Linked DNA regions of Sus scrofa. The protein of the gene in region 2 interacts with the protein of the main gene of each other region in a biochemical or structural test. Links are inferred from orthologs where the notes say so. Each region holds a gene or a part of one and is shown on either strand. Other genes may lie near its edges. The genes, in order: MYL1, UBC and USP5.

The links.
Region 1: the proteins of UBC (region 2) and MYL1 form a complex in vitro, tested with the Homo sapiens proteins (2 studies listed by BioGRID). The link is inferred for Sus scrofa from reciprocal best matches to the Homo sapiens genes UBC and MYL1.
Region 3: the proteins of UBC (region 2) and USP5 form a complex in vitro, tested with the Homo sapiens proteins (31 studies listed by BioGRID, with this or other methods). The link is inferred for Sus scrofa from reciprocal best matches to the Homo sapiens genes UBC and USP5.

What each region holds. Positions count from the first base shown.
Region 1 is NC_010457.5:113,045,764-113,054,159, reverse strand, and holds the start of MYL1 (myosin light chain 1/3, skeletal muscle isoform), read left to right. Parts: upstream 1-2,844; 5' UTR 2,845-2,914; coding exon 2,915-2,917; intron 2,918-3,644; coding exon 3,645-3,669; intron 3,670-8,396. UniProt on the Homo sapiens protein: Non-regulatory myosin light chain required for proper formation and/or maintenance of myofibers, and thus appropriate muscle function.
Region 2 is NC_010456.5:28,253,911-28,260,913, reverse strand, and holds the end of UBC (polyubiquitin-C), read right to left. Parts: 5' UTR 7,002-7,003; intron 4,186-7,001; exon of another isoform or gene 4,079-4,185; 5' UTR 3,826-4,078; exon of another isoform or gene 3,621-3,825; intron 2,957-3,620; 5' UTR 2,954-2,956; coding exon 212-2,953; 3' UTR 143-211; downstream 1-142.
Region 3 is NC_010447.5:63,841,673-63,849,235, reverse strand, and holds the end of USP5 (ubiquitin carboxyl-terminal hydrolase 5), read left to right. Parts: intron 1-278; coding exon 279-453; intron 454-1,058; coding exon 1,059-1,147; intron 1,148-2,015; coding exon 2,016-2,138; coding exon of another isoform or gene 2,139-2,207; intron 2,208-2,695; coding exon 2,696-3,060; intron 3,061-3,541; coding exon 3,542-3,695; exon of another isoform or gene 3,696-3,958; coding exon 3,959-4,043; intron 4,044-4,862; coding exon 4,863-4,956; 3' UTR 4,957-5,494; downstream 5,495-7,563. UniProt on the Homo sapiens protein: Deubiquitinating enzyme that participates in a wide range of cellular processes by specifically cleaving isopeptide bonds between ubiquitin and substrate proteins or ubiquitin itself.

The DNA.
Region 1 (8,396 bases), on a different chromosome or scaffold from region 2:
TGTACGTCAAGAATTCAGAGCGAGCATGCCTACAATGTGCGTTCTAGGTGCTGGAGATGTACCATCAAAAGAGAATGTGTGCCTCCCCACTTCCCGCCCCAGAATGCAAGCTCTTTGAAGAACTGATAAGGTCTCTTACCTCAGGGAATATAACATTCTAGAAGAGGAGCCTTGTTTGAAAGAGGAACTTACTATACATATGCTCTAATGATCTTAATGAAAATTCTGCTGAGCATCCTAACTATAGGCAAGACATTTTATCGAGTTACGGAAGATAAAATCTAGGGGGTAGAGATGTTGGCTCGCACCCGGATTCACATCATGGACCAAGGGAAATGGTCCCAGTAACATCCTGTGCTTCCCAGAAGGTGGCAATCAGGAAGATTAAACGTCTTTCAGCGGAGAAAGGAGCTAGGCAAGTAGAAAATTTTCTTTCCAGAGGAGATTTTTATCAGGGATTTGAAGGATAGTTAAATTCTAAGAAGCATTCCAGATAGAAGAGACTTAAATCTAATTTTCAAAACAAACTAAATGATGACATAGCAAACTGAGTTGAAAAATCAGCTGACATTTTGTATTCATATCATGCCATTTGTTCAAAGGGCTGATTACTTCATCATTATAACACCCAGAAAGAAATACAAGAGAAAGCTATTGCCATTTGTAAAGGTGTAAAATGTACCAGAGAATAAATAGCATCCCCCATTTATTCTATGAGCACAGTATCTTGGTCTTCTAACTTTTAAACTGTAGTTTATTCTCTAGACCAGGCTTGATCATGGCCTTATCTACAAATGTCAATAGCTTGATTAAAGGTTTACTTTCTCAATAAGCATAAAAAAACTAAACTTCCACTCTATGTGATTAAAAATGTAGAGAAAAACTGGCATGAAATAGTTTGACAACTGCCTCAATTCTATTTTAATAATAATAAAGCTTTAACATCCAAGTGGTTATGAATAACATATTTATAATAAAAATAAAACTATTAAAATGACTTTCCAGTTTACTCAACAGATTTTACACAAACTGACTGTATTTTATATTTATTCAAGGACACATATTTCTACCTGAAAAAAAAAATGAAAATGAGCATTGTACAGGGCATATGATAGGCATTATGTAGGGCAACTTTGATGAGTTTTTGGTATTACCTACAGTTATTTACTAAAGATACATGCCAGTACTCAATATTAATCATAGGGCAATTCAAACTTATTGACACAATACATAAATAAAAATAAAAGACTAAAAAGAACACAAAGAAACATAGTCTGCTCTAATGGCTCTAATATATCAAAAATCATGAAACTCCAATTACACAATTATCAAGGTGACAAATTTCCACCTTTATTTCTCACTTTCATTTCCCCCTAATGATTCAAAGGGTTCAAATTTTTTCTCTTAACTTCCATTTCCCAACAGCCTCTCAAAATGGCAATCTGTTCATGAAGATATGTCTACCTGGGCTCTAATATTTTTAAATTATATTTTTAATCCCCATTTTGGGACTCAGACTCTATGAAATTTTTTTTGTTACTTGTAAACTTTGGATGAAAAATTATACTCATTTAAATGTTGATTTTTTTTCCAAATGGCTTGAGGGAAAGCTTCAAAATACAAAACTGTCTATCAGAAGGAGACTACACTTTTTGTGACCATTCCCTTAAAAGCAGTTGCTGAAACAGTGCATAAATTTGAATTTGTCTCCAACATTCTTTATGCTTTGAACTCCTTTAAACATGTAGAAAACTGATAAACAAGTCTGAACTTTAGTGGACATCTTAAACTGATCTTTTCCCAGTGCCATTCTAAGAAGGGAATTGCCCTCTATTATCAGGTAAGCTGCCATGAAAATTTACTACCAGCCAATCCCTCAGATACCTTTAAAATTCTAAAGTACAACTTTGCATTTCACATCCTCTGCTTTGGATTCTTTTAGTTCTCAGTCTGGAGATGAAGCCATAAAAATGTTTGACATGGCAGAGAGGAAATCAGGTCATTCTAGTAAGAACATAAGCAACATTTTTAAATTTTAAAAGAATATATGTATAGAATGAAAGTAAAAGAACACAAAAATGATCTATCAGCTCTCCTTCCTAGAACTTCATAAATTCAAAAAATATGACTAGTTAGCCACCATAAAGATAATGGAAGGAAAGCAAATACTCACCCCTAACATAAAAAACAAACTAAAGGAGATTGGTGAAAATGGAGATTAAAACCATTCCTAGCTTAAACTCTATACTCCTGAGAATACAACTTGCAAAATAATGGTCCTTAATTGGAGATTTCACAAACTGACCAGATTTTCACTGGAGTGGACCCTAAGAAACATACAGAATATGCATGGCCCTTTTAAGTCCTCTGAACTTTACCACAAGGGACAGAGCTTCAGAAGGCATTCCTTCTGTAAATGTTGCCATTTGAAATCCTAAACCAGTCCTACACAAAAAGTCTCATTACTACCAAAATTGCTAACTTGAAGTTTGCCAAGTCCATAATTAACCAAGAGAAGAGGTCAGCTCAAGTCTTTAGAGAAATTCTAAGCTCCTTTGCCACTGAACACATAAGGAGCTTCTTAAAGGAAGACAGTCCAAGAGAACTTCTCAGGGATAAAGACCATAAAAGTACTGATAGGCATTGGTCTCACTATGGCTGTCCACTCCTAGGTTCTGATTTCCTAAAAATAGACCTCAGGGTACAGATCCCTCTTTCCCTTTGCCCTAAGAAAGCTAAAGAACTCTCCAAGGGGTGTGGCTACCTCTCTCTGAAATCTGATGCTAGTTATGAAGTCAGAGCTTCTCCAGAAATAAAAGGGAGCCTCAGCAAGGGAGGCCCCCCACTCAGGGATTGGATCAGCCCTCAACTCACTCTTCAGCTTCGCCGCTGTTTGCAGCCCAGCAGTTTCATCATGGTGGGTCCTATGAGAAAAACTGTAACTTACAGAAAGATACAGATAGTGGGTAGGAATAAAACTGAGGAGAGAACATATTCAGTATGAATCTGTAGAATCTATTCTGGGGCTTTGCTGAGGTGGGTTAAGAATAGAAGAAATTAATTCAAGCTATTACTTCAACTAGAAAAATACATCTTATTCCCAAAAGCATATTTTATGCTTCACCAACTTTGCTATATCACATAAGGTTTATTATATCTAAATTTAGGGGAAAAAAAACCTTCAACTATAGCAAAATAGTATACCTTAGAAAACAATCCAATGGTGCCAATAACTAAAATTAAGTAAACTACTTCCAATGCATTGGGTAAAAATGTACTGGTTAAAAAGAAGAAAGATTTAAAATGATCTTTTTAATGCAGTCTATATGAACTTCTTAGTAAGTATATCTTTATTAGATATATCTTAAATACACCATAGATTATTATATTTTTCCAGAAAGAATCTGATTTAGCATTTGTTAAATCATTGACTCGTGTATTAAGATGCAGAGAGATGTTCCCTAACTATCTTGTGCAGTAGCTTTTTATTTTTCCTAGACTCAAAAATGTCCTAAGGCAACTCTTATTCTATGACACCTACATGGCTTCCTAAACATCTTGAAGCAAAAAGCACTCTCTTCTGTCAATGCATTTGAAAGAGTACTAGTTGTTTCTTTCTTTCTTCCTCTCTCTCGCCACTGCAGTCCTTCAGTGCTGACCAGATTGCTGGTAAGTGAATCAAGCTTCTCTATTACAGATGTAGGCAGAGAACTGCTTAGTTTCTGAAATATCACTCATCTCCAAGGCATGTTACTGTGTGGCTCAACCTATTAGTATCCAAGCTATGCCTGAATTCTGAAAAGTAAGCATACTTTTTGAGCTTACTTTGAAGATTACTCAGGGAATGAGCTTGGATACATTTAAAAACCAGGACATTTTTGTTTGGTTAAAATATTCTTTGTGGTTAATTTCTTTCTAACAGATCGAGTTCTCTAAGGAACAGCAGGATGGTAAGTTTAAACGACATAGTTTTTAAATGTGCACACTTATAAAGATGGCATGTGAGAAAACCAACTCCTCTGAGATGAGATTAGCTCTTTCTAATTATCCCCACTGGTGTTGCCACTCTAAATATAAATGCTCTCAATCACTCTAAATATAAAGTCTCTCAATGTGAACTTTTTGCTTATAATCAGTAACGAAAAATTTAAGCAAGCAAAAGCTAAATACCACAAAAGAATTCCTTATACTCACTGATTTCTTAATAAAACCAATTTGATACAGTAAGTAATACTACCCGCTATATAACCCCCAAAATGATGTGGACTTAGGATGGTTAATTTGTCAACGAAATCCCTAAAGAGAGATTGGACATGTCTAAATTGTTCAGTGTAGAAAACAAAATTGATTACAAAACTGCTTAATTACCAAATCCACATATCAATGGGCACCACAGTAAGTTGAGAAAAATAGCGGATGAAGGGGATATAGAATAAAAGTGCATTCAGAGACAAAGAGAAGGGAAATAATTTATAAAAAAGAAAAAACTATTGAAGGAAGCTTAGACATCTCCTGGTCCAGTTTTAGAGATGCAGGACAGGCTCCCAGAAAAGTACTGAAACTGGCTTAAAGCTCCCAACAATTAATGTTAGGATCAAAATCTAGTATTAGTTTGAATTAATTAGAAATTTCTATCATACAAACAGTTTCTAACTAGAAGACTTCAAACTTTGGAGATTCAAGAGAATCTGAATAGTTTCCCTAAGACTTCCACTTTTTCTTCTTCAGGTCTTTGGTCCCAAGAGATCTTGTGCCCTATCAATCTTGCTTTTTCACTAGAAAGCTTAGGGCAGAATGTTTATGGAGTGCAAGTGTCACATATTTAAATAAACTGAGACAAAAATACATCTAAGAAGGGAGAAGAGAAAATTTTAATTATATAATATTGTGTAAGTTTTAATATTGGTCATAATAAGTATGTATATATTATATGTTATAATATATAATATGTAAATAATTGTAATAATACTCATAAATGTATGATTATAGTTATACCTCATTTCTCTACCTAAAGGATTCAACATTTTCAGTCTTTTTCAGCGTCCAAAATATCTCATGTTTGGATATTAGTTAAGGAAAAAAGGATATTTGCTATTGTAAAGACATATATTTCTACAGTATGGTTAATGCCTTCATGTAGAGAGAGTAGAAGCTTTGATAACTTAGAATTCAAGATCATCTGAAATTATACTACAAAAGACTATGTTTTCTTATTGAAAACAGTTGATGATTCTACTATAATTGTTTTATGTTTAATGTATTTTTTATTTATTATAATTTTTATTGAAGTATAGCTGATTTATATTATGTATGTTTCAGGGGCGATTCAGTTATACATATATATGTATAGATATTCAGTTACACATATATATACACACATATGTGTATATATACACACACACATACATACATACACTTCAGATTCTCTTCCCGTATAGGTTATTACAAAATAATGAGTATAGTTCTCTATGCTCTACAGTAGGGCCTTGCTGGTTATTTTAACTAGTGATGCTGCAATTATACTGCATTCCAGTCCTCTAAAATATCTAATTTACTGTGTCATTATGACTTCCAAACTATGGCAGAATCAAGCAATAGAAGACTCAAAAACCCTTTCAGAGACAGAAGGGCTTGCAGTGGAACATTTGGATTATTACTGTATGTGAAATAGGTTTTAGATGTAGAGGTTCAGTAAATGTTGGTGTGGGAGACGTTTTCTCCTGTGCCAGGAAAGCAAATCTAAGCATTTTAAATTAAAAGGAAATCTTATATTTTCAGCAATAAAGACTTACTTTGCTCCCGTGTTCAATGATTAGAGTTTTTCTCTTGGCTTCTCTATTTGAATATATCACGAGTTTGGAGTAAAGAAAAAAAAAAACTGGAAAATTAAAGTGTTCTAAAGGTCTAAGTTCTGTGCTGTCCAGTAGAGTTACCACTAGTGACATGTGGCTATTTAAATTTAACCTTTAATTAAGCAAAAATAAATATGTTTAAAAGTCTATTTTCTCAGTTGCACTAGTCATATTTTAGTGCTCAAGAACCACAGGTGGCTAGTAGCTACTACTCTTTTAGAAAGCCCAGATATAGAACATTTCAATCATCATAAAAAATTCTAGGAAGAGTTCCCGTCCTGACTCAGCAGTGACAAACCCGACTAGTATCCCTGAGGACGTGGGTTCAATCCCTGGCCTCGATCAGTGGGTTAAGGATCTGGCGTTGCCATGAGCTGTGGTATAGGATGCAGATGTGGCTTGGATCCAGTGTTGCTGTGGCTGTGTCTGTGGCTGGCAGCTGAAGCTCCAATTAGACCCCTAGCCTGGGAACTTCCATATGCCACAGGTGTGGCCCTAAAAAGACCAAAAAAAAAAAAAAAAAAAAGTTCTAGAATGGTGTTCTAGACTAGGGACTGGCAAATTTTTTCATAGAGGGCTAAGCAGTAAATATGTGAGGTTTTGCTGATACTACAGACTCCATAAAAACAACTCAATTCTATTATTTAGGTATGAAAACAGCCACAGACAACACATAAATGAATGGGTATGGATATATTCCAATCAAACTCTATTTACAAAAACAGGTGGCCAGCCCCTAGGCAGTCATCAGTTAACTCATGTTCTATATTCTTCAAAAGAATACAAAGCCTGGAGCTCCCGTCATGGCGCAGTGGTTAATGAATCTGACTAGGAACCATGGGGTTGCAGGTTCAATCCCTGCTCTTGCTCAGTGGGTTGAGGATCCAGCATTGCCATGAGCTGTGGTGTAGGTTGCAGACGCAGCTCGGATCCCACATTGCTGTGGCTCTGGCGTAGGCTGGGGGCTACAGCTCCGATTAGACCCCCAGCCTGGGAACCTCCACATGCCGCGACAGCGGCTCAAGAGATGGCAAAAAGACAAAAAAAAAAAAGAATACAAAGCCTTAAAAATCTGAAGTGGGAAGAGCCATATCTTTCTGGCCTTTAAACCAACAAGAGAGTTAATGTCAAAGAGATTCTATTACAGTCCATAAAATCCTATTTCTATATTAGCATCTGACCAGGGTAATAGTGAGCCCTCTGAGCAATCTGCATGAAAGACTTAAACAAGTAACAAGAATAGTTCAGTTTTACATGCCCCTTAGAAAGATAAAAAATATTTGACTAATGACCCCACAGTGCCTGCAGCATGTGTTTTAAATTAGGGAAAGGATCTGTAATGTCAATTTGTGTAGAATTTGAGGGAGAAATTTTAGCAGAGAATGGTAACATATCTATATTTGATTGTGAATTTAATGTCTGATGCAATCTTAGATGGGGGATGGAGGGATAATAAAATAGGGTACTTTGCTGAATAATCTTTCTAAATAACATCTCTTGATTTGAGCCCACTAATGACCTGAAAAGAATATTTTCACCTCTACCAGTTCATTCACAAATGTGTTTATGAGTGATGTTGGTATTAACTCCAACAAGTTGCCATCAGTACCTTGAGGTTCTCCAGAAAATGTGATGTAGCTAAGCTTTGAAACTTCAGTAAAAATGTCTTTACGTGTCCCTAAATCTATAGTAGCACCTTTTTCTGTCTTTTTGGTGTACACTTCTTAATTCTTTGTCAATGTAATTCTAAAAGGCAAAACCAATTCTATCAAAGGGGAATGAAAAAATGTAGGGCAAGTAAGCAATAGAGTGATTATGATAAAAACAGACACTTTTAAAATATATACTTACAAACACAAATACAAGTAGAACTAGGGAAATCTGAATAAAATAAATGGAGTCTATTAATGTGAATGTTCTGGTTACAATAGTATATTATAATTTTGCAAAATGTTATCACTGGGGGAAATTAGAGTATTTAAGAAATCTTTTGTATTTTTTCTTGAAATTTCATGTGATTATAGTTATTTCCATAAAATTTTAATTCTACAGCTAATAAAGCATCATATTATCATATGTATTATCTGAAGAAATAGTAAAGTTTAAAGAGATTATCAGGGCAATAGATCCAAATAGTTTTCCTTCTGAATCAGTCATAAATGAATCTATTAGAATCATACATTGAAATGGTTAAATGACACCATAGAATTTAGAGGTTTGTCTCATCTTTCTAAACTTTTTCCTGACCTGAAAAATGAAGTTATTCTTGAAGAAAATTAGTTAAGAGGAGAGTCTAGGAAATTTGTACCTCAAGAGCAGACTTTTCTATGTAACTTGAAAAGTTTGGGTTAACCTCCATGTCCCTAAATCTATAGTAGCTCCCCACATATGAAAAGTTGTTGTGGTTTTTTTTGTCTTTTGTCCTTTTAGGGCCACACCAGAGGCATATGGAGGTCCCCAGGCTAGGGGTCTAATTGGAGCTGTTGCCACTGGCCTACGCCAGAGCCACAGAAATGCCAGATCCAAGCCACATCTGCAACCTAC
Region 2 (7,003 bases):
ACATTAAAACCATCTTTTACTGACATTTCTTACCTCCTGTTTACCACAGATTATGTAGCAGACTGAAAACACTTGATCTCTTATACCCAACCCGACCTAAAAAAAAAAATCCTCCTTAGACACTTAAAAATAAATCACACTATTTTGGAATGCAACAACTTTATTGAAAGAAAAGTGCAATGAAATTTGTTGAAAGCTTAAAAGGGAGAACTTAGAAACCTCCCCTCAAGCGCAGGACCAAGTGCAGGGTGGACTCCTTCTGGATGTTGTAGTCAGACAGGGTGCGCCCATCTTCCAGCTGCTTCCCGGCAAAGATCAGCCTCTGCTGGTCTGGGGGGATGCCTTCCTTGTCTTGGATCTTCGCCTTGACATTCTCGATGGTGTCGCTGGGCTCCACTTCCAGGGTGATGGTCTTACCAGTCAAGGTCTTCACGAAGATCTGCATCCCACCTCTGAGGCGGAGGACCAGGTGCAGGGTGGACTCCTTCTGGATGTTGTAGTCAGACAGGGTGCGCCCATCTTCCAGCTGCTTCCCGGCAAAGATCAGCCTCTGCTGGTCTGGGGGGATGCCTTCCTTGTCTTGGATCTTCGCCTTGACATTCTCGATGGTGTCGCTGGGCTCCACTTCCAGGGTGATGGTCTTACCAGTCAAGGTCTTCACGAAGATCTGCATCCCACCTCTGAGGCGGAGGACCAGGTGCAGGGTGGACTCCTTCTGGATGTTGTAGTCAGACAGGGTGCGCCCATCTTCCAGCTGCTTCCCGGCAAAGATCAGCCTCTGCTGGTCTGGGGGGATGCCTTCCTTGTCTTGGATCTTCGCCTTGACGTTCTCGATGGTGTCGCTGGGCTCCACTTCCAGGGTGATGGTCTTACCAGTCAAGGTCTTCACGAAGATCTGCATCCCACCTCTGAGGCGGAGGACCAGGTGCAGGGTGGACTCCTTCTGGATGTTGTAGTCAGACAGGGTGCGCCCATCTTCCAGCTGCTTCCCGGCAAAGATCAGCCTCTGCTGGTCTGGGGGGATGCCTTCCTTGTCCTGGATCTTCGCCTTGACGTTCTCGATGGTGTCGCTGGGCTCCACTTCCAGGGTGATGGTCTTACCAGTCAAGGTCTTCACGAAGATCTGCATCCCACCTCTGAGGCGGAGGACCAGGTGCAGGGTGGACTCCTTCTGGATGTTGTAGTCAGACAGGGTGCGCCCATCTTCCAGCTGCTTCCCGGCAAAGATCAGCCTCTGCTGGTCTGGGGGGATGCCTTCCTTGTCTTGGATCTTCGCCTTGACGTTCTCGATGGTGTCGCTGGGCTCCACTTCCAGGGTGATGGTCTTACCAGTCAAGGTCTTCACGAAGATCTGCATCCCACCTCTGAGGCGGAGGACCAGGTGCAGGGTGGACTCCTTCTGGATGTTGTAGTCAGACAGGGTGCGCCCATCTTCCAGCTGCTTCCCGGCAAAGATCAGCCTCTGCTGGTCTGGGGGGATGCCTTCCTTGTCCTGGATCTTCGCCTTGACGTTCTCGATGGTGTCGCTGGGCTCCACTTCCAGGGTGATGGTCTTACCAGTCAAGGTCTTCACGAAGATCTGCATCCCACCTCTGAGGCGGAGGACCAGGTGCAGGGTGGACTCCTTCTGGATGTTGTAGTCAGACAGGGTGCGCCCATCTTCCAGCTGCTTCCCGGCAAAGATCAGCCTCTGCTGGTCTGGGGGGATGCCTTCCTTGTCCTGGATCTTCGCCTTGACGTTCTCGATGGTGTCGCTGGGCTCCACTTCCAGGGTGATGGTCTTACCAGTCAAGGTCTTCACAAAGATCTGCATCCCACCTCTGAGGCGGAGGACCAGGTGCAGGGTGGACTCCTTCTGGATGTTGTAGTCAGACAGGGTGCGCCCATCTTCCAGCTGCTTCCCGGCAAAGATCAGCCTCTGCTGGTCTGGGGGGATGCCTTCCTTGTCCTGGATCTTCGCCTTGACATTCTCGATGGTGTCGCTGGGCTCCACTTCCAGGGTGATGGTCTTACCAGTCAAGGTCTTCACGAAGATCTGCATCCCACCTCTGAGGCGGAGGACCAGGTGCAGGGTGGACTCCTTCTGGATGTTGTAGTCAGACAGGGTGCGCCCATCTTCCAGCTGCTTCCCGGCAAAGATCAGCCTCTGCTGGTCTGGGGGGATGCCTTCCTTGTCCTGGATCTTCGCCTTGACGTTCTCGATGGTGTCGCTGGGCTCCACTTCCAGGGTGATGGTCTTACCAGTCAAGGTCTTCACGAAGATCTGCATCCCACCTCTGAGGCGGAGGACCAGGTGCAGGGTGGACTCCTTCTGGATGTTGTAGTCAGACAGGGTGCGCCCATCTTCCAGCTGCTTCCCGGCAAAGATCAGCCTCTGCTGGTCTGGGGGGATGCCTTCCTTGTCCTGGATCTTCGCCTTGACATTCTCGATGGTGTCGCTGGGCTCCACTTCCAGGGTGATGGTCTTACCAGTCAAGGTCTTCACGAAGATCTGCATCCCACCTCTGAGGCGGAGGACCAGGTGCAGGGTGGACTCCTTCTGGATGTTGTAGTCAGACAGGGTGCGCCCATCTTCCAGCTGCTTCCCGGCAAAGATCAGCCTCTGCTGGTCTGGGGGGATGCCTTCCTTGTCCTGGATCTTCGCCTTGACGTTCTCGATGGTGTCGCTGGGCTCCACTTCCAGGGTGATGGTCTTACCAGTCAAGGTCTTCACGAAGATCTGCATCCCACCTCTGAGGCGGAGGACCAGGTGCAGGGTGGACTCCTTCTGGATGTTGTAGTCAGACAGGGTGCGCCCATCTTCCAGCTGCTTCCCGGCAAAGATCAGCCTCTGCTGGTCTGGGGGGATGCCCTCTTTTTCTTGAATCTTCCCCTTGACATTCTCAATGGTGTCACTGGGCTCCACTTCCAGGGTGATGGTCTTACCAGTCAAGGTCTTTACAAAGATCTGCATTGTCTGTTACAACACAAAAACAACAGGAAAAAAAAAAGCCCAAAGTTCAGCAAGAAATTCACAGGCCAATATATACCCAGTGCTAAATAATTCATTATCACTTTGTAGTAGCCAAATAACTGACGTGCCTAAAAACCTCACAGGCTTGACAATTAACCTCAAATCCAACGTCTCAGGCGTTTAAGAAAGCAAAACATGGAAACCTGACCCAGGTAAATTCGCGGACCTACTTATCCTCCCCCTCAATGGATGTCTGTCCTCTGTCAACACGGCAGCGTTTACCCCAGGCCCAAACCCTGTGTCCCCAAACTACTAAACATCTTCCTACACACATAGCGGCAGGTGGCCCCACCCTAGGCTATGAGCCCACAAAAAGGGGTGAGGCCTCGTCACGGTCGTGGATCGCAAGTCCCCTGCCCCAGAAGCGTTCAGGCCAACTCAGCGGCACCAGCAGTTAGTGTCCCTTCACAGGGACGGAAAACCGAAGTTCTCGCCGCGCGCCAGCCAGCCAGTCGAGCCGGAAAGCAATGACCTAGCATTCGATCCCCGAAACACTGCACAACCCCGTTCCACAAACGGCCGGGCCCCGCCATCAATGGAAGCCTCCGCGCCTCTCGTTTCCGTTTCACCCAGTGCTCCTCGCCCGCCCCCAATTTCTCTCTCCCACCTCAGAGCCCGCTTCAGAGGCCGGCTTCTCCCACAGAGAGATTGGGAACGGCCGCCATTTTGCTCTAGGTGGCCGTTCGTCTTAAGGCTATTCCGCACGAGGGCCCCGGGTGACTAAGCAGCTCGGCTGCCCTTCCGCCGCGGCGGGCAAGCAGACCTCCCGCACCCACCCCCGCAGCCGCAAGACCCCCGGACGTCCGCCTCACCAGGTGGCAGTGGCAACAGCGGTCACAGAAGAAACGCAGGCAAACTCCCGGCCTCCACGAAACTGCCTGCGCCACACCCGGTGCTTCCTTATATAGCCATCGGTAGCACCGCCCCAGTAGATTCCTCCGCAGAAACGCCGAGAAGGGACTACTTTTCGCGGCCCTTCCTGCCCTCTGAAGAGAGAAGCAGTCCCCCCAGAATCTTCTAATTTCACTCCTAGAATGCTTTCCTGTGAAGACTCGAACACTGGGGCTGATTTTGGGGGGGGGGGACGAGGCCTTAGTCCTGAGCGGCCGAGCGGAGGGATCAGCGTGTTCGCTGAACACTGCGTCCGCGGACAGGGCCGGTACTCGGCTGGTTGGGGGGGGTGTGGGGGAGGTGCCGCGGAAGGTGCGAAAACCCGACACGGAGTCCTCTGAGCGTCCGGAGGGGGCTGTCCCCGCTGCCGGTCCCCGGCGCCCCCTCCCCTCAACCAGGAAGGCTCGCCTTTCCTGAGACCCGCCCTCGGCTAACAGGGGTCCCGCCGAGCGCCTCACGATGAATCGGGGTCCCGCTCCCCTGGCCCGAGTTCCGCCGTGCCCCTCCCCCCAACCCCTCTTCCCCGCCAGCGAAACCGTGGGGTCTTTATTCTGGGTCTCCCATAGGTAACGATAGTGTTTCTGTTTCCATAAACTTCCCCTCACCCCCAGTGGGTCGCGAGGACTTCCCGGGGGGTCTAGTCACCCCAACTGTGGCGGCCGAACCCATCCCCCTGCGGGCGGGCACCGGGACAAGAGGAATGACTCGACAAATCTCGGGGCCGGGCCTCAAGCCCGCCTCAGGAGGGTCGTCAGGACCTGCAGGAATTTTCTCACAACGCAGGAGTGAAAAATAAGTGTCCAAAGGAGAAATGCCTGTGACAAGTTCACATTGAATTTTGAAAAGTAAAAGCAAAAATTCCACACAGCTGTGAAACACTCCTTGCGCTGGACCTGAAAGCTGACAGAACTTTGCGGATTGCTCTTCGGCCTTCCTGTTTTGTTCCCGATTATGAGCAAGAAGGCATCAGAATTTCACTTCTGCTGCCATTTGAACTCAGAAATCAGAAATCAAATCTATTTAAACCCACGTTTTCTTTTTTTCTTTTTTTTAATTTTATTTTTTAATGAAGTTTTTTATTGTAGTTGATTTATAATGTCAATTTCTGCTTTACAGCAAAATGATAGTCATGCATATATATACATTTCCTTTCTTATCGCTGAGCCTGAGATTTTTAAAAGGACACTAATTGTAAGTTCTGTATAGTCCTGGTGGAAAAAAGACCCCAAGTATGAAATTTAAATCTATAGACAAATTCCATTTGGATAAAAGAAAAAGATCACCAGTCAGATCTTTTTCATTTTGATATTTTATTTTGTGATCTCTGTGTCATTTCTCCAGCATATTTTTTCCTTTTTTCAAAAAGCATACTTAAATTTTTTTCCAAAGGCATATTTTAAAAATGTTTTAAAATATATGAACGTGATGAAAACTTAAAACAGGTTTTCTATAGTTTATAATGAAAAACCTCCCTCATGCACTCAATTCCCTAGCCACTGTTCTTTCTAGACTCTTCTAGAAATATTCTCTATTTCTATAAATGTGGGGAGGGTGTTTTTAATTTTTACCCTTGAAGCTTTCAATAAATATATAGAAAAAGAGAGAACCGACTAAAAAATACCCTGCTATTAGGAAAAGACTACATTCCTGTTGGAATTATAAACATTATGTTATTTAAATACTGTACTTAAAATGAGAATAAAAACAAAACTATGTTTTCTTTGGCAACCTGTGTCTGTAGGTATTTATGGGAAAGGTCTAAGCAGTATTCAAAACAGACTTTAACTCCTATCGTTTTAAACATTTTCAAAGAGAATGAATTCATTACCAAGAAATGTAAATGAATAATAAAAATAAAATGTCATTTTTCAGTTTAGCAGGAGACCTCAGTGACTTCCAGTAGAGATTTCTGTGAGGGATATTTCTAAATTTCTGAAAAGAGGGTTTAAAGGAACAGAACATCAAAGCTCTGTATAAGGTTTCCTTCTTGAATTCCAGAAAGAAGTTTTCAGAGGAACAAAAAGCTGAGGTTCTTTCTCAGGTGACTAGGCCTGGCTTCAAACCACACCCTGTTTTCTTTTGGCTGTTCTTTCACTGCAGGTCTTATGATTCATGTTGTTTAAAGGCTGAGTCACGAGCTTTGTGACATAGCTTTTTTTTCAAGAGTCCAAAAACTACAGAGAAAAACAGACCTGATTTCAGAGGCAAGGGAAGGTGAAAAGGAGAAAGAGGGGGAGAGGGGGAAGAAGAAAGGCTCCAAGGGTGAGGACTGGGTCCCAGGGCTATCTCCAAAGAGAAAACAATATTCTTAGGCGCTAACAACACTGATGTTGTCTCTAGCAGGAAAATTCTCTACTAGAGAATTTTGGTCTCTAAGTCCAACAGTGGGTTTTGTTGAAGCAAATAGAAATAAACATTTGTCCAAGGGCACTGAAGTGAAAGGGAGGAGGGGGAAGTAAACTCTCAGGGAGGTAGATGCTGTTTCTCTAGAGCAGTGGTTCTCAACCAGGAGCGACTTGGTCCCTTGGTGGACACTTGGCAGTATCTGGAGACATTTTTGCTTGTCACAGCTGTGGTGTTGGGGTTGAGGTGTGCCGCTAAAATCTAGTGGTAGAGGCCAGGGATGTTACTAAACATCCTGCAGTGGCCAGTCCCCCACAAAAACAGAATTACCCAGCCCCCAAAGTCAGCAATGCAATGGGTTGACAAATTCTGCTCTACGGAGGATTTTTGTTGTTTTTGTTAGAGCTGCTTTTCTGTTTGCTGAGAAGGGCTCCCAAAGTCTAAATGTCCCACTTGGATTCGGGGATCGTGTACCAAGTCACGTTCCTACAACCTAAAATCCCTTGACCTAGAATGCAATGTGCTAGAATATGCCAGAAGCAGGATGAGTCATTGGATCCATTTTCAGTTCCTTCCACCCACTGATCCATCCTTTGCAGGTGCCCCAGAAGGGATGGCTTCAGAGCTGGCACCAATGGAAGAGTGACAGAGGCCCAGCAACACGGCAGGATTGGCGGGCAGGCAAGAGCACGTGATGGGCTGAGCTCACAAAGGGCCTGGGTGTTGGGCTGTTGGGGATTGGACTGGAGCCTACCT
Region 3 (7,563 bases), on a different chromosome or scaffold from region 2:
CGGGGCCTGGGCACCTTACAGGAGCAGAGCCCAAGGTTAGCTCTGTCCCCAGCCAGACCTGCCCAGCGGGGCCTGTGGGCCGAGCTGGGATCACCCTTGCTTGCAGCCAGTCAGCAGAGCTTTGTTGGGAAAGAGGCAGGAGGATGTGTATCAGGTGGGCTTGGGGAGGCAGAGGAGCCGAGATGGTCACGGACCCCGAGCCAGTAGAGCAAGACTGAGGAGGGAAAGCAGCAGCTCCTGCCCACCCAGAAGGACCCACCCACCCCTTCCATCACCAGAGGAGCTCCTGGAGTATGAAGAGAAGAAGCGGCAAGCCGAGGAGGAGAAGCTGCCACTGCCAGAACTGGTTCGGGCACAGGTGCCCTTCAGCTCCTGCCTGGAGGCCTATGGGGCCCCTGAGCAGGTGGATGACTTCTGGAGCACTGCCCTGCAGGCCAAGTCCGTGGCCGTCAAGTAAGTCCTGTGGGTGCCGGCCTGCGGCAGCGTCATCCCAAAGATGCTGTCAGCGTCGCATCCTCTCCCGTTGTGGTCCAAATCTCAGGCTTCTATCACTTGAGGCTGGTACCCTGGTCCTGAGGGAACCCAGAGGCTCCAACAGGAGCGGGGTCAGGAAATTGCTACCTTACCTTGTCCTGCCCCCGCCAGTCCCTCTTCTCTCATGGGCCGGGGTCACTTTCCATTGCAGCCTCTCTCTGCTCTGTCCCCCACTCCAGACCAAGCACAGAAATTAGTAACAGTTGTGGACGGAACTGAGATTTCCAGCACATGGCCTGCCTTTTTGCTACCTCATCACTGGCATGAACCTGAGATCTGAAAGAGTGCTTTGGTCTTGGGGATTCCAGCCACCTGCCCCTTGGCTGCTCTGGCCCATCAGGCAGCCCGCCTCCAGCTTCTGTTGCTCCTTATCCGCAGGTGCCCTGATGCCTGCCCAGGGCAAGAAAGCATGGAGTGTCTTCTGGGCTTTTTTAACAGCCCAGGTCTCTATCCATGAGAGGCTGAACCCAGCGTGGAGCTTTCGGAGAGGCTCCCTGGGTACCTGTATGTTCTCTCTTCCCTAGGACCACACGATTTGCCTCATTCCCCGACTACCTGGTCATCCAGATCAAGAAGTTCACCTTCGGCTTAGACTGGGTGCCCAAGAAACTGGGTATGGTGGCTGGGACGAGCAAGGGAGGTTAAGCAGAAAGTGCTAAGAAAAAGAAGGGGCCTTAAGCTGTGAACTGGTGCTTCTCCAACTCTCTCAAAGTAGAAACATTATCTTAGCTGCTTTCGAAATGTGTCTAGCACCGTGAAAAGCACCGACTAAAAGTATCAAGGCTTCTCTGATTTTATAGTTACAATTTACAGCCAGAAGTGATGTTCCTAGTTTTGTGTTTTCTAATTGGCAGGATGGTTTCATTTTGATAATCTTTTTTTTTTTTTTTTTTTTTTATCTTTTTAGGGCTGTACCCGAGGCACATGGAGGTTCCCAGGCTAGGGGTCGAATCGGATCTGTAGCTGCCAGCCTACACCACAGCCACAGCCACTCCGGATCCAAGCCATGTCTGCGACCTACACCACATGTTACAGCCACACTGGGTCCTTAACCCACTGGGCAAGGCCAGGGATCCAACCTGCGTCCTCATGGATACTAGTCAGATTTGTTTCTGATGAGTCATTTTTGATAATCTCCTCATTTTGATAATCTCAAAATAATGAGTTCTCATGGGTCTTCAGGCCCCTGACCACTTGGTGAACTGCAGAATTAACTTGACCTCCTAGCTAAGTTGAGCCCCATGGAAGCATAGAATCATCTGTGGCCCCTTCCTGGACTGTGGCTCATTGTGAAAAGATCTAGGACTGGAATCCAGGTCTTCTGACCCCTGGCCTGATGGCTTTTATTACACTGTGACTCCTGTGCTGGGTCCTGCTCTGAGCAAGTCGGGGGCAGGGGGCTTGAGATTCCCAGAGTGCTTTTCCCGGGAGGGCTTCCGGGAGCTGCCAAGGTGACCCTTGTCCTGCCGGTCCCCTCGCAGATGTGTCCATCGAGATGCCCGAGGAGCTAGACATCTCCCAGCTGAGGGGCACAGGGCTGCAGCCTGGAGAGGAGGAGCTGCCCGACATTGCCCCACCCCTGGTCACTCCGGATGAGCCCAAAGGTAGCCTTGGTTTCTATGGCAACGAAGACGAAGACTCCTTCTGCTCCCCTCACTTCTCCTCTCCAACATGTTAGTGACTCTTCTTCCTGCCTGTCTCTTTCCCTTGCTGATGGGGATCTTCTCTGCCTGCCTCCCCTTGACCCTGTCCTTTGTGTTTCTCCTGTCCTCCCTTTCAAATTTTCCTTGGCCCTCTTGATGAACATGGGGACCGATCGAGCCCTCCCAGCCATGGTCTCTGTGTGGATGGTGGCACACTGGCTGATTGCCTCTGTCCTTGTTACTTGGGTGGGGGCAGGGGCGGGGGCTCGTCCTCCAGACAGTGGGCGAGGAAGGGGCTCCCTGGGGGATCTGTAGCCTGAGTTCTGTACCTTTCGGATACGGCTGGCCCCCCATCAGGTTGTGTTGTCATTTTAGTTCTGGAATCAGGTGCTGGGCCTTGGAGGAAAAATGCATGCAAGGTGGTTGGGGGAGTCCTGGGGGCTGGACTCTGGCAGGAGGGAGGGGGCAGGGAGTGGCCCCAGGAGGCACGCCCCATGCCCGCGCTTCTCTGCCAACAGCGCCCATGTTGGATGAATCGGTTATCATCCAGCTGGTGGAGATGGGCTTCCCGATGGACGCCTGCCGCAAAGCCGTCTACTACACGGGCAACAGCGGGGCCGAGGCCGCCATGAACTGGGTCATGTCGCACATGGACGATCCAGGTAGGCTGGGGTGGGGAGCTGGGTGGGGCGGGGCCGCTGCACGCCCCACACACTTCAACCCCTTCACGTCCACAGATTTCGCGAACCCTCTCATCCTGCCTGGCTCCAGCGGGCCCGGCTCCACAAGCGCAGCAGCTGACCCCCCACCAGAGGACTGCGTGACCACCATTGTCTCCATGGGCTTCTCCCGGGACCAGGCCCTGAAAGCTCTGCGGGCCACGGTATAGCCTGCCCCCAGCCGAGCTCAGTCCTGTGGGAAGGAGAGGGTGGGAGCAAGCTTCTATCCCTCGTGAGCAAGACCAAGGATGACCCACGTAACGGGTCTGAGGAGCTAAAGATGCTAAAGGAGCCGAGGCCGGAGTTCCCGTCGTGGCGCAGTGGTTAACGAATCTGACTAGGAACCATGAGGTTGCGGGTTCGATCCCTGGCCTTGCTCAGTGGGTGAAGGATCTGGTGTTGCCGTGAGCTCTGGTGTGGGTCGCAGATGCGGCTCGGTTCCTGCACTGCTGTGGCTGTGGTGTAGGCCAGCAGCCACAGCTCCGATTAGACCCCTATCCTGGGAACCGCCACATGCTGTGGGTGCAGCCCTAGAAAAGGCTAAAAAAAGAAAGAAAAAAAAAAGATAAAGAAGCTGAGGCCTTCCCTGGCAGCCTTCTCCAGCCTGACAGTGCTAGAAAAAGTGACTCTTCTCTCTTTTCTAAGAACAATAGTTTAGAACGGGCTGTGGACTGGATCTTCAGTCACATTGATGACCTGGACGCAGAGGCTGCCATGGACATCTCGGAGGGCCGCTCCGCTGCCGACTCCATCTCCGAGTCCATACCAGTGGGACCTAAAGTCCGGGATGGTCCTGGAAGTGAGTGTCCCCTGAAACCAGAACAGGCCTGGTGGGATCTAGCCCGTTGGCTCCACCAGGTCTGCTTCCCTGGGGTGGTGGGAGGAGGCGGACAGGGGGCAGAAGCTTCTTTCCACCAGCTCGACTCCTGGAGGTGGGTTCCTAGGACGAGAGAGAGCCTCTGGGCCCAGTGCATGCCTCCAGTTCCCTGAAATCCCGTCCTGTGTGTGAGCTGTGGGGTCCAGCCGCCCTCCCTCTCTGCCCTCTCTCCCCCCCTTCCCTAGAGTATCAGCTCTTCGCCTTCATTAGTCACATGGGCACGTCAACCATGTGTGGTCACTATGTCTGCCACATCAAGAAGGAAGGCAGGTGAGGGGCCAGCACGTGCGTTTTTGAATGGGAGCGTGATGGTGGGAATGGTAGGGGCATCCTGGAAGTCCTCAGATTATGTGTGAGGGAAGGTAAAGGGTTGCTGGTGGGGCCGCAAACTCAGCGGAAACAGAGAAAGCCTCACGGCAGGGATTGGCCAACAAGGGCCCAGAGGCTGAATTCGGCCACTCACTTTTATAAAGTCCTACTGAGAGTTCCCATTGTGGCTCAGTGGGTTAAGAACCCGACTAACATCCATGAGCATGCGGGTTCTATCCAGGGCCTCGCTCAGTGGGTTAAGGATCCGGCGTTACTGCAATCTGCTTGATGCGTGTAGTTCGCAGGCAGGGCTCAGATCTGGTGTTACTGTGGCTGTGGCACAGGCCGGCGGCCACGGCTCCAATTTGGTCCCTAGCCTGGGAATCTCCGTATGCTTGCAGGTGCAGCCGTAAAAAGAAAAAGTCTTGGTGAGCACAGCCAATTACCCACTTATCTATCTGTGGCTCTCTTCGAGTTGCCACAGGAAAGTCAAGTAGTTGTATCAGAGACCAGATGGCCTGCAAAACCCGAAACATATCCTGTCTGATCCCTGCCTAATAGGAACGGGTGGCAAGTGGCTATAAAGACACCACAGGGTCTGAAAGCCCTGAGTCCAGTCGCAATGACCCTGTGAGATTGGGATGCTCCCTTCAGATAGGCAGCTGGACTGTAGGTTTGGGGACCCAGGCAGAGAATGTTGGGAGCCTTTGCCCGGGAATCACCAGGAGCCACCTCCAAGAGAGGAGCTGTTCATCCTTTTCCCCCCACATTCTTCCCCAGATGGGTGATCTACAACGACCAGAAAGTGTGTGCCTCTGAGAAGCCGCCCAAGGACCTGGGCTACATCTACTTCTACCAGAGAGTGGCCAGCTAAGAGCCCACCCTGAGCCCTTAACCACTGAGGGCAGGGGACAGACCACCCGGCATGAGGGATGGATGTCAGCCCCCCTGCTCCCGTACCCTTTTCCTTTTCGTGTCCCCAGCAGCAGGGAAGAAGCTAGAGGCTATGAGAGAATGGCCAAGCGAAGTGGGGGGGGCACTCTGGAGACTTTGGGGATGGAGCAGGAAGGGGAACGGGAGGGGCCGGCTGCCTGTCTGTGAGGAGACTGTTGCTTTCCTGCCCTTGACCCCACAGGGCTCTGCTTCTCTGTGATCCTGCTGGCCCAGCGTGGAGCGGGCTCGTTTGTTTGTGTGGCGTGGGTATAGCTTTGTGCAGCCTCTTCCACAGGAGGGGGCTTCTGTGCCTCCCCTCCCCCGTTGTGTGTGCTCCCCGTGTGGTTGGGCAAGGAGGGATCTGAGGGAAATGGGGACCCCCCTCGCCCTCCTGCCTCAGTCTTTTCCCCACCCTGTCTCTCCCCTGTCCTTCTGGAAAATGCCAAAATACAGGATGTGAATAAAAGTACAGTGGCTCAGTTGTGTCCTGTTTGATACCTTTGGGGGAAGCTGTCTTCCCCAGGGCTAGCAGCGGGGCCAGTTTCACAAAGCTCCTGGCCCTGCCCCTTTGCCTTCTATGTTTTGTGCTGGTGTGATTGGGGGCTGAGTGAGGTGAGCTCTGGGGCAGCAGAGGAAGGCTGCGGGGTGGGGGCTGTTAGATGAGGGGATGTGGGCTGGGGTGTCACAGAACAGAGATGGGGTGGAAGAGCCCTTTCTTGCAGCCGTGATACCGGAGGGGGCCCAGGTGGGTTCTTTCCAAATGTCCCCAGTGGCTGTAGTCCTTTGTCAGGCCTTGGCCTGCTGGAGCAAAAAGCGGGGTATTCATGGGGACAGGGCGGACTTCTGAACCCCCCTCCCTTAGCTGCACAGTTTCTAGCCAAGGTGGGCCATCCCTCCGCTGCTGAACCCTGTTTTTTGCCCAGTTACTGTGGGGCTGGGTCGGCCCCGGGTGGGTCAGAGGTGTCCGCTCAGCACTCAGGGATGTGGGGGCTCCGATGGGGAAGGAGGCTCCTTTTCCCAGAGCTGGAGAGAGGCCCCTCCCCTATCCCTCGGTGTGGGGGTGGCGTGATGAAGCCGTGAAGCGGGGGTTTCCCTGAGCACCGGGCGCACGGTTCTCCCCAAAGTCAGACCACGGAAGCTGTAGCCACCGAGCCTGGACGCCGCTGGAACGTTGCTACAAGAAAGAAGGTGACGTCAGAACCTCGCAACGCGGGCGGCGGCGAGCGGCAGCGGGCGGTGGCGGGCGGCGGGCGGCGGGCGGGGCCGGGGCTGGGCTTCCGCGGGGCGGGCCAGTCATGGCCCAGGACGCGAAGGGGGCGGGGTTCTGCCTCTCCGCTCTCTATATAAGCGGCCAGTGGAGACGGCCGCGCGCTGCTCCTGACCTTCAGTGTGCTGGCTCCAGCGCCATGGCGCCCGCTAGGAAGTTCTTCGTGGGGGGAAACTGGAAGATGAACGGGCGAAAGAACAATCTGGGGGAGCTCATCAACACCCTCAACGCAGCCAAGCTGCCGGCCGACACCGGTGAGCCCTGGCGGTGGGTGGGAGGTCGGGCGTGGTGGCGCCCTCTCCCGAGCTCTCTCAGCAGTTGTCTGCGTGGTCCTGCTTGCAGGGCCGGAGACCAGAGTTACTGGGGTCCCGGCCTTGGCCCTGCGGCCGCAGGACCAGGGGTGTGTCCACGGGGAAAGGCGGAGCCGCATCTCCCTGTGCCCTCCGACTGTGGGAGGAAGACGGCTCCGGGGTGCGGACCGGGGCTGCACCCGCCCGAGCCGGGGATGGAAGTGGAGCCCAGCCCCTACGGGCGATCGGGAGAGGCCGGCGCCAGTCCGGTGTGTGGGGGAGGAGGCTGCGTGCAGGCTTCTGGGCCCCCTCGGCGCCGGCTCCGTGCGCCGCCGCACGTAGCCCAGACTCCTCCCCGCGCTTTGCCTGGGCTACCGAGTTCCCCTGCCGGGTGGCCCTTGGCCTCTTGAGCTACTCTTCTGATCCTTTCCCCTCGGCGGCCTGCAAGACCCTTCTGCGGAAGGGGCTGAGCAAGTGACAAACGGGCAGAGCCATGTGGGGATGAGGAGCGATCCTCTTGTTTTCTGCAACCTGGATACGGGAAAACGCAAGGCCTCTATGAGCCAGTCGACTCGCTGCCACCCACGGACAGAGTGCCGTCCTCAGTCCTTCCCATCCCAGGCATCTAAATCACAGAACCCCGGGTCTGATCAAGAGGCACCCCCTTCTGGTTTATTCCCCCCAGAGACTGCAGTACAGACCCCAGGAGTTGGCCCTTTCTGCTTTTGCTAAAAATCCTTGCCTGGCTAGGAGAGGTGGGAATGAGCTATTTTAGAAGGGAGGCGGGGTTGGCCCCAGAGAATGCTGAGTCTAGGAGGTGCCCAGGCCCAGAATAGCCTGGGGAAATCAGAGCCACAGCTGTTAAAAGAGCAGAGGGCAGGGCAAGGGCCATGACCTCTCAGGGGTACCCAAAAGGTTCAGAGTTGGGTTCAGGCCCAGCCTGGGGTGCAGAGTAGACAAAGATCATCATGCTGGTGTGGAAATGGGCGAA